Linked DNA regions of Mytilus edulis. The protein of the gene in region 1 purifies or fractionates together with the protein of each later gene. This does not show direct contact. Links are inferred from orthologs where the notes say so. Each region holds a gene or a part of one and is shown in the gene's direction. Other genes may lie near its edges.

What was found.
Region 2: the proteins of tether containing UBX domain for GLUT4-like (region 1) and nuclear protein localization protein 4 homolog purify together in Homo sapiens (affinity purification with mass spectrometry; 3 studies listed by BioGRID and IntAct, with this or other methods). This does not show direct contact. The link is inferred for Mytilus edulis from reciprocal best matches to the Homo sapiens genes ASPSCR1 and NPLOC4.

What each region holds. Positions count from the first base shown.
Region 1 is NC_092352.1:39,218,478-39,226,452, forward strand, and holds the start of tether containing UBX domain for GLUT4-like, read left to right. Parts: upstream 1-4,518; 5' UTR 4,519-4,573; coding exon 4,574-4,651; intron 4,652-7,975. Other genes in the region: DNA excision repair protein ERCC-6-like, read right to left, coding at 1,984-2,101, 2,396-2,495, 2,718-2,922. UniProt on the Homo sapiens protein: Tethering protein that sequesters GLUT4-containing vesicles in the cytoplasm in the absence of insulin. Modulates the amount of GLUT4 that is available at the cell surface. Enhances VCP methylation catalyzed by VCPKMT.
Region 2 is NC_092352.1:9,703,239-9,711,781, forward strand, and holds the start of nuclear protein localization protein 4 homolog, read left to right. Parts: upstream 1-5,042; 5' UTR 5,043-5,164; coding exon 5,165-5,191; intron 5,192-7,514; coding exon 7,515-7,598; intron 7,599-8,543. Other genes in the region: uncharacterized protein, read right to left, coding at 663-849, 2,559-3,255, 4,776-4,809. UniProt on the Homo sapiens protein: The ternary complex containing UFD1, VCP and NPLOC4 binds ubiquitinated proteins and is necessary for the export of misfolded proteins from the ER to the cytoplasm, where they are degraded by the proteasome.

The sequences.
Region 1 (7,975 bases):
AATGAATGTGTTCTAATGAACTTAAAATTTTTGTTTCTCTTAGAGCAATTCACTATGCTGTTGAATATTAATCCTCTCAAAAAAATGTTTGAAGAAATTTTCATTTTTATTTATGAAATTTCAAATGAGAAAAATTGAACCCATTTTTTTTAATCACATCCCCCTTTCCCTTATTCCAAAACTAATCTCAATTAAAATTTCTAATGGAGTTTGCAACAATAACTACTCATTTAAATACATCATAAAATATTAAGATGTAAAAAAACTGCTTGTTATCACTGAATGGTAAAGATTATTTTAATTTATCAGTTGGTAGTAAAAAGTGAATATACATTGTATATTGTATATAACAAAGATTTAAGTTGATTCTGGACAAAGAAAGATAACTCCAATTAAAAAAAAATCTTGCTATTGCACAATATTTTGCAATTAGATATTTCTTGCTTACTATTCTGGACAAAGAAAGATAACTCTAATTAAAAAAAAAATTTGCTATTTCACAATATTTGTGCAATTAGATATTTCTTGCCATTGCGCAATACTGTGCAATTGAAAAGACTTGCTATTGCACAATACTTAATATAATAATTTTAGATCCTGATTTGGACCAACTTGAAAACTGGGCCCATAATAAAAAATCTAAGTACATTTTTGGATTCAGCATATCAAAGAACTTCAAGATTTCAATTTTTGTTAAAATCAGACTAAGTTTAATTTTGGACCCTTTGGACTTTAGTGTAGACCAATTTGAAAACAGGACCAAAAATGAAGAATCTACATACACAGTTAGATTTGGTATATCAAAGAACCCCATTTATTCAATTTTTGATGAAATCAAACAAAGTTTAATTTTGGACCCCGATTTGGACCAACTTGAAAACTGGGCCAATAATCAAGAATCTAAGTACATTTTTAGATTCAGCATATCAAAGAACCTAACTGATTCATTTTTTGTCAAAATCAAACTAAGTTTAATTTTGGACCCTTTGGACCTTAATGTAGACCAATTTGAAAACGGGACCAAAAGTTAAGAATCTACATACACAGTCATGACAGTTAGATTCAGCATATCAAAGAACCCCAATTATTCAATTTTGATGAAATCAAACAAAAGTTTAATTTTGGACCCTTTGGGCCCCTTATTATGTTGGGACCAAAACTCCCAAAATCAAACCCAACCTTTCTTTTATGGTCATAAACCTTGTGTTTAAATTTCATAGATTTCTATTTACTTATACTAACGTTATGGTGCAAAAACCAAGAAAAATGCTTATTTGGGTCCCTTTTTGGCCCCTAATTCCTAAACTGTTGGGACCTAAACTCCCAAAATCAATACCAACCTTCCTTTTGTAGTCATTAACATTGTGTTTAAATTTCATTGATTTCTATTTACTTAAACTAATGTTATTGTGCGAAAACCAAGAATAATGCTTATTTGGGCCCTTTTTTGGCCCCTAATTCCTAAACTGTTGAGACCAAAACTCCCAAAATCAATCCCAACCGTTCTTTTGTGGTCATAAACCTTGTGTCAAAATTTCATAGATTTCTATTAACTTAAACTAAAGTTATAGTGCGAAAACCAAGAAAATGCTTATTTGGGCCCTTTTTGGCCCCTAATTCCTAAAATGTTGGGACCAAAACTCCCAAAATCAATACAAACCTTCCTTTTGTGGTCATAAACCTTGTGTTAAAATTTCATAGGTTTCCATTCACTTTTACTAAAGTTAGAGTGCGAAAACTAAAAGTATTCGGACGCCGGACGACGACGACGACGACGACGACGACGACGACGACGACGACGCCGACATGATATTTTTTCAAAATTTGCGGTCGTATAAAAATGGTATACTCAGTTTTAATAGGGGAAGTCAAATATTAGAGGTTGGTGTGTTTTATATTTTAAAAAAGAATTGTAAGTTATTCCTGTTATCGTGAAAGATTTGGAAATTGGAACTAGAAAAAAGTATTTCAGTAACAGTCTACCTTATTTTCCTTCTGTTTCTTTACAGTTAACAATCTTTTCTGTACAAAAGCAGATGTGATGCCAGTATTCAGGGAAGATAAAACTGTGGTCACCTGCTTCAACTCTTTTTCAACATTCCTGAAATAATAATTGACACAATTGTATACATAAATATCATATTTTCAAAATTTCAGGTACTGCTAATATTATTTCAATATTCTGTACATCCATTATAATGAATATGTATTATCACAGATGCATTACCTTTATAAATATATAATTATTACAGTTTGTGTGCATAAAATCTGTCTTATTCAACAAAGTGTTGTGCAAATTTTTCTGTTTAAAAAAATGTTTAGAACCATATGGAAATTTCATTCACTGATTCAGATTAACTTCTTGTTACCCATTTTGTTTGTCTTGCTAACTTACTTTATGTCAAATTCAACAGCCCTAAGATCTTTCTCTAAAACTTTTTTGTTCCTGTCTTCCTCTTCCTTTGCTAACACCTCTCCTACTTGTGCCATAACACCTGAAGTAAAAAATATAATTCACAGAAACATCTACATTTATATTTACTTACATTTTCATATACCGGTATTTCAATTTTCAAAGATTTCCCAAAATCCTTTTGTCAATCTGATGAATTATAAACAAGAACCAAACATATCTCTATGAGTTCCATATAAGAAAAAAAAATATCCATTCTTGATGCCAAAAAATAAAGCAATAATTTGATTTTACATGCAAATACCTTCTTCAAAATCCTCTTGGTTAAATACATCTAGTCCTAAGTTTTTAAGTTCATCAAAAGCTTGGTCATCTAACTGTGCAACAGGTATTAAATCTCTGTTGACATGGAAGCTTTTAGCTTTCTCTTTCTCTATTGGATCTTGATGCTGATCTGTCTCCATGGCTGATGGCTCATCTAAATCTCCAGAAATAATTTTCTTATCCATATTGGATATCTGTATATTATATAAAATCTGTAAAATAAAAAAGAATGAACTGAATAAACATTTTATCTGATACAAAAGATGCTATGATAACTAAAACTCCTGATAGTTTAAGTGTTTTGAATTTTAGGATAATTTAGGTTAAGTTGAACAAAAGTGTCTTTTATTTTGCAAAATTTCATCTTTTAAATATTCGAAGAGTTCTACTATGTGTGAACTTTTTTAAACTGTTATTGCTTTTTAATAAGTATGAACCTTTTACACCTTAAAATTGTATATGTTATTTGAATTTCCAATTTTGCTTTTGGATGCAAAACGAATGTTAGTACTTGATTTCTTAGTCCCATTTTGTTTATTTTAGTGCCATTTTTTTTTTGCTATAAATTGTCAAACTATAATGAAGCGGTACCCTGAAACCAGTCAGCAGCGGCAGCTCATCATGAGTAACAGAACTATAAAATGATTAATATATGGCACTGAAAGTAGTTACCTTGATTTTTAAATTGACAGGCTAGTTCTTTTATTTTCTGTATTTGTTTTAGTAGATTTATTTAATATAGAAGAGAAAAGTATCTTTTGTTTTTTACATTATTTGCTAGTTAAAATATTTAGACGTAGAAGATTTTTTTGAAGTCATGATCAGTGCACACACATTTCAGGTTACATAGAGGGTGGTAAAGGGTTAATTTTTCATGCAATGCTTTCAGCCTTTTCACTTCACATGTTTTCCTGTTTGACGTTTTATTTCTTGTTTTTTCATGTTTTTCTTAATTTATTTTCTGTGTTTTGTGTCAGCATGGTTAGTATTCTTAATTTCTCGTGCTTATCCCGCAATTGATTAAAAAGTAAACCCCTGACTAATTGAAATTCAGCCTGGACATTGTTTTGAATAAACTAATTAGCTGGGTCCCAAGATATTTATTGCTCTCTTTATTAATAGCCTATTGTTTTACTTAGAATAATATCTTTTCAAATCGGACGCTAAGTCTCAGAGGTAACCACAGGGTCTTCATGTCCATTAACTATGAATGTTTGATCTCCAAGAACAGCCAAGTAATACCTTTTGGTACTTTTTTCGTTTTTCTCCAATATTTTTCCGTGGAACGTTTTTGTGATTTTTATTTCACATGTTTCGGCACCTTTACATCCCTCTACATAAGTTCTGTGTAGCTTTTATTTGACACACCTAATTACAATTTAAACACATAGGCCTATATTTTCTGATAAGTTTAACAGTAAAATGTATCTAAAACATAACAACAAAAGATAAACTGCAACTGGTTAAAATTATTAAACTGAATGAAAACATTTTATTACAAAGACCGATCTTTAATCTCTTAATTACCAATTATTTGATCTCAAAGTAATCAATTTACTCAGAGATTTTATAAACAGACTTATCCCATCACTAACATCAGCACATTTTGAAAAACATTACACAACTTCATCTCCATGTCCTAAGGGGCATGATTTTATATTTTATTACACTCTGAAATAATGCTATTCTAATAATATTCGATGTCTCAAAAATAAATGAAACTTTTTAGATGCAATGAAGTTGTACTTAAAGAGTTGATAAATTTTGAAATAGATAATTAAATTGATTTATTTACAAGGATAGAAGCACCGGAAGTTCATTTTGTAAACAACAACAATGGCGACTGTACAGGTTCTATGTCCAAACGGAAGACGACAAAATGTGAAAATTACACCAAATACTAAGTTGCTACAGGTATGAGGACCATATAGAATTCAAAAACTGATTATGTTCATAGTAAATTAGTGGTCTTTTTCAAATGTCAGTCTTTCCAACGCACACATTTAGTCATTTACAAATTGCAAGTCATGCACATTTTTTTCGGACACCGCACCGGTAAAAGTAAAAAAGTAAAACAAAATTACCGAACTGCATGGTTTCCTAAAAAAGAGAAAGTATATTAAAACCAAATCAATCGTTGTCAACCAGAAACGAGTGAAAATACAACTCTCATATTTCTAAGTTGGTACAATCATAATTTTCCTAAAGCTATGACACATCTATTCAGCGCCACCATATGCAATTTGGTCAAATAGTAGGTAATCTGTGATCGTCCTTCGACAGTTGAATGATATTTTGAACATTGTGGTGCTGTTGTGTGTTGTGGGACAAAAATTGGACATGAACCTTTTTTGATCTACGATTTTTTGTTGTGTCAACTGTCTTGTGGCTGTCTTGAGAGTGTCTTACCAAAGTCTTACCACTGTTGTGCGATAAACACATTGTCCTGGGTACCAATATAAACCATTTTATTAAAACAATTGTAAGACTGTCGCAAAACTGTCGTACAGCAATCTCACGACTGTTGCAAGCCGGTCTCACTAATTAGCGACAAGAAGAATTATTTTAGTGACAAGAAGCGACAAGAAACTATTTTAAGCGACAAGAAAATATTTTTTTTTTTATTAAAATTACTTATTCCGAATAAATATTAAAAGAATATGCAAAAGAAAACAATTTTAGCGACAAGAAATTTAATATTGATAAAAAAAAAATTAAAACATTTATTTACATGATATTTTATCATTTATTATGTTTAACAGCAAGTATTACGTTTACCCTGTCGTATTAGGATATTACTTTTACCAGAGCCATGTATACACATATGTCTCAGCTTTTACTTGTGTTTTAAAACAATAATATATATTTATCTTATAATTTTTTTTTAAAACTCTCTTTGTACAATATATATAATAAACTTTCAGAAAATACAGACACAAATTGTGAAATACAAATAACTGAAATCAAACAAGAGGAAAAGAAAATTAAAATGTGAATATTTTTCATCATTTTATTTTGTTTATTGCCTCATTACACGATATTTATCATGTTTATGTATATTGATTGAAGATTAAAGGAAATTAATGACAATCTTGAGTTTTCAATAGGTGTTCACTATTTACAATGATTGTATATTCTGACGCGTGTACAAAGTTGAAGGTGTTAATTGGATGTTATTGTGGCAATAAAACAAGGAACACGTGCCTCGATTTCTTCATCTATTAATAAAAAAATATCAATTTATTTCTGCTTGTATATTTAAAAAAAAAATGCATATTTCTTTATATTTAATAATAAAAATGTTTTCTTGTTGCTAAATAGTCTTCTTGTCGCTTCTTGTCGCTAAAATTATTCTTCTTGACGCTTCTTGTCACTAATTAGTGAGACCCTTGCAAGCCAACCGTGATACAGTCGCTGTCACACAATTGTCTCACGAATACCAAATTTTGTATGATGCTCACAAAACATTGATTGTCTGTCTTAAGACAGTAGTAAGTTCGTCTTGCAACATATTTTTATTTTTATTTAGAAGAATACAACTTGGCGGGAATAAATGTTTGGAAAAAATATACCGTCTGCCATATAAAGAGGATGGCTATTCCACCAGAACGATAATGCTTGGCCCTGCTGAATAGGCCCCTTGCCGGACTCCAACAAGAGCAAAATATGGTCCTGTTATTGTTGATTTAAGCCTGTTAACAGTGTAGAAAACACCGAATGCATCATCAAGGGTCGACTGTGAGGCTGCTGCACCCCTCTTGAGTCTGGACTGAAGCTGACCAATGGTCCATGACCCTGCGCTATATGGCCACAGGGAACAGTTACAGCAGCCTAATATTCTCCTTTCGTGTCCCCACAACACCATCTCAGGGTTCATTCCGAAGGTTGCGCAGGCTATCATTGATGAATATCTTGGCGAGACGATGCAGACCCCAAGCACACCATGGATGGTGTCAAGTGGCAGACAGATTTTGAGCTCGCAGGAATTATCCCCATGGCAAACATGTGGCTATCAAGGCATCAAAGAACATCAGAACCAAGCACTACATTTACAAGGGTTACTTTTCTATAGTCCTGCTTTGAGTGGTCGACAGTAGCTACAAGTTTCTGTGAGCAGACGTTGGGGCAGAGGGATCTGCATTGGATGCAGGCATTTTCAACAATGGCCCACTAAGAGGTGACCTTGAAGAAAAACGACTGGGCTTCCCTGAACCTCTTCCTGGTGATGCCATATGTTTCCATATCCAAGTAGCCCTGTACTTCATGACATGAGGGTCATTGACGCTCTTCTGAAACTCTCTCTTTATATGTCGTAGGAGGTCTACATGCTTTTGTACCTCTTGCCTATCCTGATCCCTGTAACAAAAGGAAAACATATCAAAACGCATTTCACACACTGGAATAACATTTGAATTTTATACGACCGCAAATATTAAAAAAAATTTAGTCGTTTATTGGTATCACGTCTTCGCCGTCGTCGTTAGCGTTTTTCGAAGACGGATTGTTTCCGGATAATAACTTTTGATTAAGTTACCGAAATCAATAAAATTTTAACACAATGTTTATAACCACAAAAGGAAGCTTGGGATTGATTTTGGGGGTTATGGTCCTTAATAGTTTAGGAATTAGGGGCCAAAAAGGGGGCCCAAAATAATCATTTTTGTAGTGGATGAATCTCTCTGAAATTATACCACAAGTTTCTATACCATGAAGGGATGGTTTGGTATTGACTTTTGGGGGTTATGGCTCAAAATGTTTCGGAATTAGGGGCAAAAAAGGGGAAAAACTAGGTATTTCTGGTCAATGGACAATTAAGACATTTTAAAAGCAGTGTAAGGGAGGTAATTCTAAAACATTTAACATACAATGTTGGGTATGTTCAAATTTACCTCCCTTACACTACTTGTATATTATGTATAAAGAAATGTCAGGTTTTGGACTAATTGCCAAAAAAGGGGGAGGGAAGGTTACAGTTTTCAAATATTTTTTTTCAAATTCTCAAATTCCAAATTTTTGAAAAGAAATCTTTAATTGCACAATATTGCGTAATAGATTTGGAAGATCTTGACATTTGTTTTGTGTCAGAAACTCATATCATGTCAATTTTTTTTATCGCAATCCAAATTCAGAGCTGTATCAAGCTTGAATGTTGTGTCCATACTTGCCCCAACTGTTCAGGGTTCGACTTCTGCAGTTGAATAAAGCTGCGCCCTGCGGAGCACCTGGATTAAATGGTAC
Region 2 (8,543 bases), about 30 Mb from region 1:
GTGACCTTCTGCTGTTGTTTTTTTCTATGGTCGGGTTGTTGTCTCTTTGGCACATTCCCCATTTCCATTCTCAATTTCAAATATTAAATTGCCATCATAGAAAATTGTCTGCTTTTTTAAATTTACCCTATACTTAAAACATGTAAAAGAGTTTAAAATTCATATACAAGGAGATTATCAAATATATAGGTTTTGCAAATAGAAATGAACAAATTATCTGTTTTTCCGTTTTTCTACGTACTATAGCAGTGAGTCACATTGTAAATCTATTTGACAACTAAATGCACCAAATAAGCAAAAAAGCTTATATCCTAAGAGGTCTTTATGAGTTTTCTGCTGTGATATAAGTAAGGTCATAGGGCTAGGCATGATACAAGAATTACAGAGCAACTGAAAATATTCCTAGGTAAGTGGTGATAATTATCAATTATCTCCCTTAAGTATTCTGTAATTCTTGTATCATGCCTATGACCTTAATAGAACAGAACTTATCTCACAGTGGAAAACTCATAGGCAATGTGTAACAATGAGAAAGGCTTAACCTGTCGCCATCAACAGTTGCTCTGTAATTCTAATTGCATGCCAATTGAGAGTTTATATATCCAAGATGAGATACTGTTCTCATTTCTACAGTTAAAACAAAGAGAGATGTAAAAACTTACTGCTTGCTGTGGTGGTAGTTTTGATGTGAATGGTAGATCATCTTGAACACTGTGTGGTGGAGGTACCTCTGGCAAATCTTTATAATTGTCCATGGCTGGTAGAAATATCAAGCAGTCATTGATGCCTGGTATACTCTTATCCTCTGTTAACCAAGACCTTAAAGGTTCTAATGTTGATGGCAAAGGTCTAAAAGTCAATCATATTGTTGCAGTATTAAACAATTTTAGTGCAAATGTTTATTCTTAAGTTTGAGTCAACTTAGCAAAAACACAAAATGAGAATAAATAAATTCCTAATTCTACATGAGCAGTATAAATGATTGAACTATTGTAATGAATATCCATGAAGTAGCGGTTCATAATGCAAATAATAATGCATTTCATTTATGAAATCAAGTGAAATTTCTATTTGTATGTTTAATAACGAGTATTAAATAATGAGTTGAAAAGTTGTCATAAATTAAACACAATTTAGCTATATGAGTATTACACATTTTTGTCCCCCCCTCATTTATTTATTTATTTCTCTTTCCAACACAATAGAATCTGCTGCACTATGTTGAGAATACTGAATAACTATGCAAGATATTAAAATATACCTGAGGTTATCTTCGACTTAAAATTTGAGTTTTACATGGGAGATAACTCACACCCTTTCCAATAAAATCTGCAAAAGCTGTCACATAATTTCACTATTATTGCAAGCATTCTATATAATCACTAAAAACTTATAACCTGACCAACACATACACATATGTATATTATTACTTTGAAAAAAAGTTACAAAGCCAAGTCAATATGGTATCCTTCCACTTGTTACGTTTTCTCATTTTTGCTACTGACATCTAATATTTTAATACATGAAGTTTAAACAAAATTAGGCAAAATTCTATGAATTGATTAACTGATTTTTACCCTCTGTGGCTGTAAATATTTAATAGATTTTCAACCCAGCTGTATATCATTGAGTATGTAATTTTTCTTTGCTAAATTGTGATTATTTTATCTTTGTATAATGCGAGTAGATTTTGCTGTTTATAAATCATTAGAATATAACAGACTGTAATCTTTGTCCAGAGTCATATATATTCATTTATAACAAGTAATATATACATGTACCTTCCTATAAATTTCTCTCAAACAGATACTTTCATCAAATAATGTGTGAAGTAATAACTTGGCATACAAAGTTCAGATGAAAATCAGTCAATTTATTCAATTACAGTACTTTAGTAAAGCAATGAAGTCACTCAAAATGTTATAACACAGAATGACCTGTACATTGACTGCAAGTTCTCTATGTAGATGAAAAATTAGAAACATTCATAAATCACTGACTGCAAACTAATAATCCTGGCAAAATGTATCATTCATAATTTATTGTACTCCTCTTAAATTAAGTAACTTTGAATCATTTGATATAACTATTGGCATATACAATGTATGACTTATAAAAACAATTATTAAAAAAAACAGATTTTCTATTTTAAGTTGATCATTTTATTTTTATTTTACCAAGGCACAATATTTTCAAATGTTATTTATGTAATAGGATCAAATTTGTATTACATTGTACTTAACACTAATCAATGTATATGATAGTTAAACTTGATGACAAACCACAAAATAAAACAGCTAGAAAAAATATCACAAGGGTTTTCGCCATCATATCAATTTCTATCCTTAACAATCATAACAATGAATATGCTATAACATTCAGTCAGTTGTATTGGTATGTATTATCTGTTATCTAACGTATACATGTAGCTGTTCAAGTGATCCAATGGGAAAGCAACTCAAGTATAAATCTTAATAACTTTAAAACAGACCACTGCAGTACAATTTGATCTAAACAGCAGAGCTATTATGTGATCATTTTAACAATTTCATACAAACCTTTCTTGTTTTATCAAAACTGATGGTTTTCTAAGATCATATTTAATATCTTGTGGTTGTCCATCATTGTCTGTCCCAAAAATAACCTGATGAGAATTTAGACCATGTACCATAGGTTTTATTGATGGACCAGCTGTGATTAAGACTGGAGCCTCTGATGCGTGGTTAAGGGTCAGTGGAGGAACTCTATTGTCAGCCAAACCAGGGAGAAAAGGTTTTGTATCATCTGACACATATTTTTCTTTAGAATTCAATAAATAATGATAAGTAGGATATGGTGCATTGTCTCCAATGTCAACTACTGGTACCTCTTTACCACCAACTGGTACCAGTTCCATGCATGTGTTTCTTGATGAACCATGAACAGGCTCCACTGATACATTGTCACGTGCATGTTTTGTTCTTGGTGGCTTCGATGATAAACTCTCTAATCTGGCTTTAGCACTGAAAGGTCTTCTGCGTGGAGCACTTTTTTCTTGCTTTACTGTAGTTTTACTTACATCCAAATTATTCTTAGTGTCTACACAAATACTTTCTATTTGTGATCTTTTACGAGGATCAGCAGACCATGCTTGTCTTTGACTAGTGGTGATTTGCTTTTCTTCATATAATTTATTTGTGAATGTTGATGGAAAAAGGTTACTTCTGTTATGAAACTTTGGTATCATATGATTCGGTTTTGGAGGCAATCCAGTAACTGTAAAAAAAGACAAATAAAACAGGTTTCTGCAATATTATTTTATTTATAAGTTTTATATTTACTTCAAACAGCTCTCTTCATATTTTATACCAAAGATATAGGTGAACTTGTTTCAGGAAAAATCAGGAAAACATGTAATATCATTTTAAATTTCACCTGTAAATATGTTTTTAATGAGCACCATATTGAATGACTTTCCATTTCAACAATGTACAAAAAATGTAGATGTACATTGTAGATGATCATGACTGTTGATAACTATGTTCATAATGTATTGAGATCTTGGTGTGGAAAATGTTACATTAACTGCCAAAAATAGTGACCATGGTGATATGTGCCCTATACTATATTCTACTGTAAGTTACAAACTAAATTCCTAAGTACTACATGTATTTAATTGGCTTTGGTGGTTAGTCACCATATTGAAACCTACAATGTATATTTTCACAAAATAACAAGTCCTCACTTTTTTTGCCAGGGTATTTCAACATGATATTTATTTTTGTTTATTTTAGTACAGAGAATTCAGAAATAATTTATTAAAGAAAGTTTCATACATTTGTATATACACCAGTTCCAAAATACAATATTTGGTTATACATGTACATGTATCCCTTATATGTGACTTTCATTCCCATGTGATCAAAATGTAGGCATCATCACTTCAAACACATACATGTACATAATGTATTGGGATACTAATAGGTAAATAATTTGATGCTGTACTGCCCAAAATATTCAGGAAATCAAAATCTAATTAGTTAGTCACCCTCTCTGCAGTTGTATAGAAATTTAGATTATGTACTTACAGAACATGAATAATTTCTAGACTACCCTACAGAATGACAATCCTGAAGATGCTTGAAACTTTAATAGTGCAGGGAGACAGTCACACCTTCTATTTGATAAATAATGTCATAATGCGAGTGCGTAATTGATGATCTTTTCCAGTGAAAGACACAAGTAAAAAAAATAACCTATTCCGATACGGCACTTCCATTAAAGGGTTTTCAGTTGTATCTGTCATGTGACTTCCATCACCACGTGACTAAAATGTAGGCATCGTCACTTCCAACGCATATTGAGAAAATGGGTGAAAAGGTTCGATTAAATTTTTTTGGATCTTAGCCTACTTCTTCCATAATGACTTAGAAAAATAATTCACTTTTAAGAAACTAAAAGGTGGAGTGAACATGACTGAACACAAATCAAAATCCGTTAACGGAGAATATCTAACAATTGGCAAAAGCGGAGTAACTAGAACAGATTTGAAATTGTTGATCTTTTCAGGTAAGACATGATTCCAGATATAACGGATTGGAAAATAAAGTAGGAATATATCAAAATTAAATCAAATATGATATATGAAGTCAATGAAAGAGAAAACAATAACACTCAATTGACAACCTTATTGGTTTAACTAGGTAAAACATGAATCTTCTGAAGATTATCATCAGACAGTTTAATTCTGCTGAAACTTAACAAAGCAAATGATATTAAGTTAAAAATATACACACCTGCAGTGACATCAAATGTCTTTACAGTAGCCATGTTGTTTACATATTTTCCATGGTTCCGGAAGTCGTTTTTATGAAATTGTCTAAAATAAGATATATCATATACAAATTTCCTTGATTATGTAACAATAAAAGTTATGTGTTTAACTTCATATTTTGATACCGAAAACTAACTTGTTCCTGCAAGTGCGACAGTTTCGAACAAAATATGACTTCTAAATCATAACTGTGTTTAGCATTCACTGGTTTATGAATTATACTATAAAGCGTTTTGTTGACGCAGGTGAACAAATTCAGCTTTTGCAAGTCAGCTGTCTGCTAATAGTTATTTGTAGAAAATTACTAATATTTTCATTTTCAAAACTATTCCTCTGAAATACACAACAAAAATGGCTAGTTCCAAGCATAAGCCAATTGTAAGTTAAGCACGATGTTATAAAAACAATAGAGACAAAATTTATAGGGCTCTAAATACCAATCAGATATTCATATATTTTATGATTAAATCCGTTTATAAATGCTCTTTTTTAAATCCAGAAAAAAATATTTCATCGGTATGTTATCACATCACAATGGAATATATCATATGTTATGTTTGTGAAACAAATGTGATAGGTGGCGGTCGTGTTGTAGGTTTTTTCCTAAAATATGATTCCCAGAAACTGAAACTGAACAATTCTGTATACAAGATATTTTATGGTGCCAATCACAGCACCTATTACTAAGCAGAATATCATTGTAATTACTAAACAAAGTACAATACAATATATATATGATATTTTGAACTAAATAGAATAACAAAATAACTGGATATTTAGGAGATAACTGTATGGTATTTTAAGCTCCGATGGCATCAATTGGGGATTTGATGGTCGCAAATTAAGTTTACTGGCCATGCGTTAGCGGAGACAGTAAACTGGTATTTGCGACCATCAAATCCCCAATTGATGCTGTTGGAGCCTAAAATACAATATTGTTATCTCCATTCTAATGAAACTGACAGAAAACAACGTTTAAACATGTATTTAAAATCTGTCATATGCTGTCTGCACTTGCGCATACATCCCATAGCATCAATTGTCAATTGATGCCATGTAAATAAGTGATGCTATCCATAATCCAATCAAAATGAACGTTACAAACGTTGTTGCACTAGAATAATGATTAGATATTGGAAGATGTGGTGTGAGTGTCAATGAGACAACTCTCCATCCAAATGACAATTTATAAAAGTAAACCATTATAGGTCAATGTACAGCCTTTAACACAGAGCCTTGGCTCACATGAAACAATTAGCTATAAAGGGCCCAAAAATTACTACTGTAAAACCATTCAAATGGGAAAACCAACGGTCTAATCAGTAATCCATATAAAAAACGAGAAACAGGTATGAATTACATAAAACAAACGACAACTACTGTACATCAGATTCCTGATAGTATGATGGCTATAGAATAAGGTTTAATTAATTTATACATTTAGAATTATGACTGGGAAAATACTTACATTACCCTTACATACATGTATATGAAAAAAGTAAGATCACAAAAATACTGAACTTAGCTAGAGGAAAATCAATTCTGAAAGTCCATAATCACATGGCAAAATCAAATAACAAAACGCATAAAAAACGAATGGACAAGAACTGTCATATTTCTGACTTGGTACAGGCATTTTCAAATGTAGAAAATGGTGGATTAAACCTGGTTTTATAGGGCTAACCCTCTCACTTTGATGACAGTCTTGTCAAATTCCGTTATATTTACATTGATGTGTAAACTAAACAGACACAATAAATAAAATAGTCAAAATATGGGTACATCAGTCATCATCGTATAGCAATTTTAAAAGGGACAATTTAACAGAACTCTAAAACATCTATCTACAAACACATTCATTGATTTGTGTGTCTGATGTCAGAAATTTTTTTTATACGTCACATAAATTTGTCGTTCATTGTGCATGCAAACAATTTTAAAATTTACATAGGCAATGTTAGCATATAGGGTTAAAAAATCAAAAGTATGTAAGAATAAATATCAGAAATAGACCGAGATTGAATATAGTCCAAAAGTTATATATATACAGAATTTATAAGAATCCACACATTCCACTACGCGATTGAATGATTTTGACGTTTATGGTTCAACGTAGTTTGTAATTCATAATAGAAATATATCATAATGACATAAACTAGAACAATATCATACTGATGATGTACTTCTCAAGACACAATTTGATTATGGCGTTATAAAAGCGTTGTCCATAGGCAGATATTTCAAGTCCTTTTACAACAAAATACAAACTATGCAAATGTCATGCACATTTTGACTTCATTTCAGAACATTTACATGACATAACGCCCAATTTGCCACGTAAATTTTTTTTCAGCTTATAGATGAACACAAAACACTCCTTTTGTAAATAATTTTAGTGTAAAGGTTATGATTTATATTTTGTTGACATGTATGAGTCCGTTAATATTAATGCAATTTTATTACTTTATTGAATTTATTAGTATTGCTTCCTACATGTACATGTTTATAAACCATGTATTGAAACTAAAAACTTAAATTTCATTTTGCTTTTATGATCAGTTTAATCTTTTCTTTTTGTATTAGTTTGTATTAGGTTGAATTACTACATGTACTCTAACGTTATTAATGAACAGTCACATGATCTTTAATTTCTGTGCAATTATAACAAACTATGATAAATAAGTTCTACTTTTTGTGGTAGGTTGTTCGTATTCAGTCTCCTGAGCATGGTACTAAGAGAGTAGAAGCTAAATCCTCAGAGTCTGTTGCAGACTTCCTAAACAAGGTGAGTATATATGCTCTTTTGTTTCAATGTTGGAAAGTTCCTGGCGGAAAGAACTTAGTAGCCGAAAAGTTCCGAAGGAACTTATTAACTAGTTGCTTTGTTCTTCCTCTGGTTTAAAAGTTCCACCATAACAAAGTGACTAGTTGAAAAGTTCAAAAGTAACATATCAACTAGTTCGAAAGTTCTTTTTTGCCAAATTAGTCAAAACCGGAACTCACAAACTAGCCCAAAAGTTCCAACCAGTCACAAAGTTTCATTTGGAGAAGTGATACAAAGTAAAAGCGTATCATATTATACATATATTTGAACATTTCAAAGGGAAACCAAGATACTGATTACAAAAGTCAAAAGGAACATCATCTAGCCACAAAGTTCCTCTTTGGCAAATAAGTCAAAACCAGAACTAACAAACTAGCCCAAAAGTTCCAACAGAACTTATTAACCAGTTACAAAGTTCCATTTGGAGAATTGATGCAAAGTAAAAACGCAACATATTACCTTTGAACCTTTGCAAAGGGGAACAAAGGTGTCTTATATACTGATCCTCATTCTTCCCTCTCTTCATTATTATGGTACTTAATTCGATCAGAATGTTGCCTTCATGATAATGGAATAAGTTCTAATTTATTGTTATACATTAATCTGAAATTGATATTTTTAAAAGTACCCACATGAGGAGGGGGATTCTTCCCTCTCTTGAGGATACTATGAATACTAAATTTGCATGATAATGCAACTTATTTCCTTTGCTACATTGTTCCGTGACTTTTCAACAAGCAACTTTTTAGCTCACCTGGCCATCGGCCAAGCAACCAAGACGGCCGCCATGGCTAAAAATAGAAGATAGGGGAAAAATGTAGATTTTGGCTTATATCTCTGAAACCAAAGAGCAAATCTGACATGGGATAAAATTGTCTACCAGGTCAAGATCTATCTGCTCTGAAA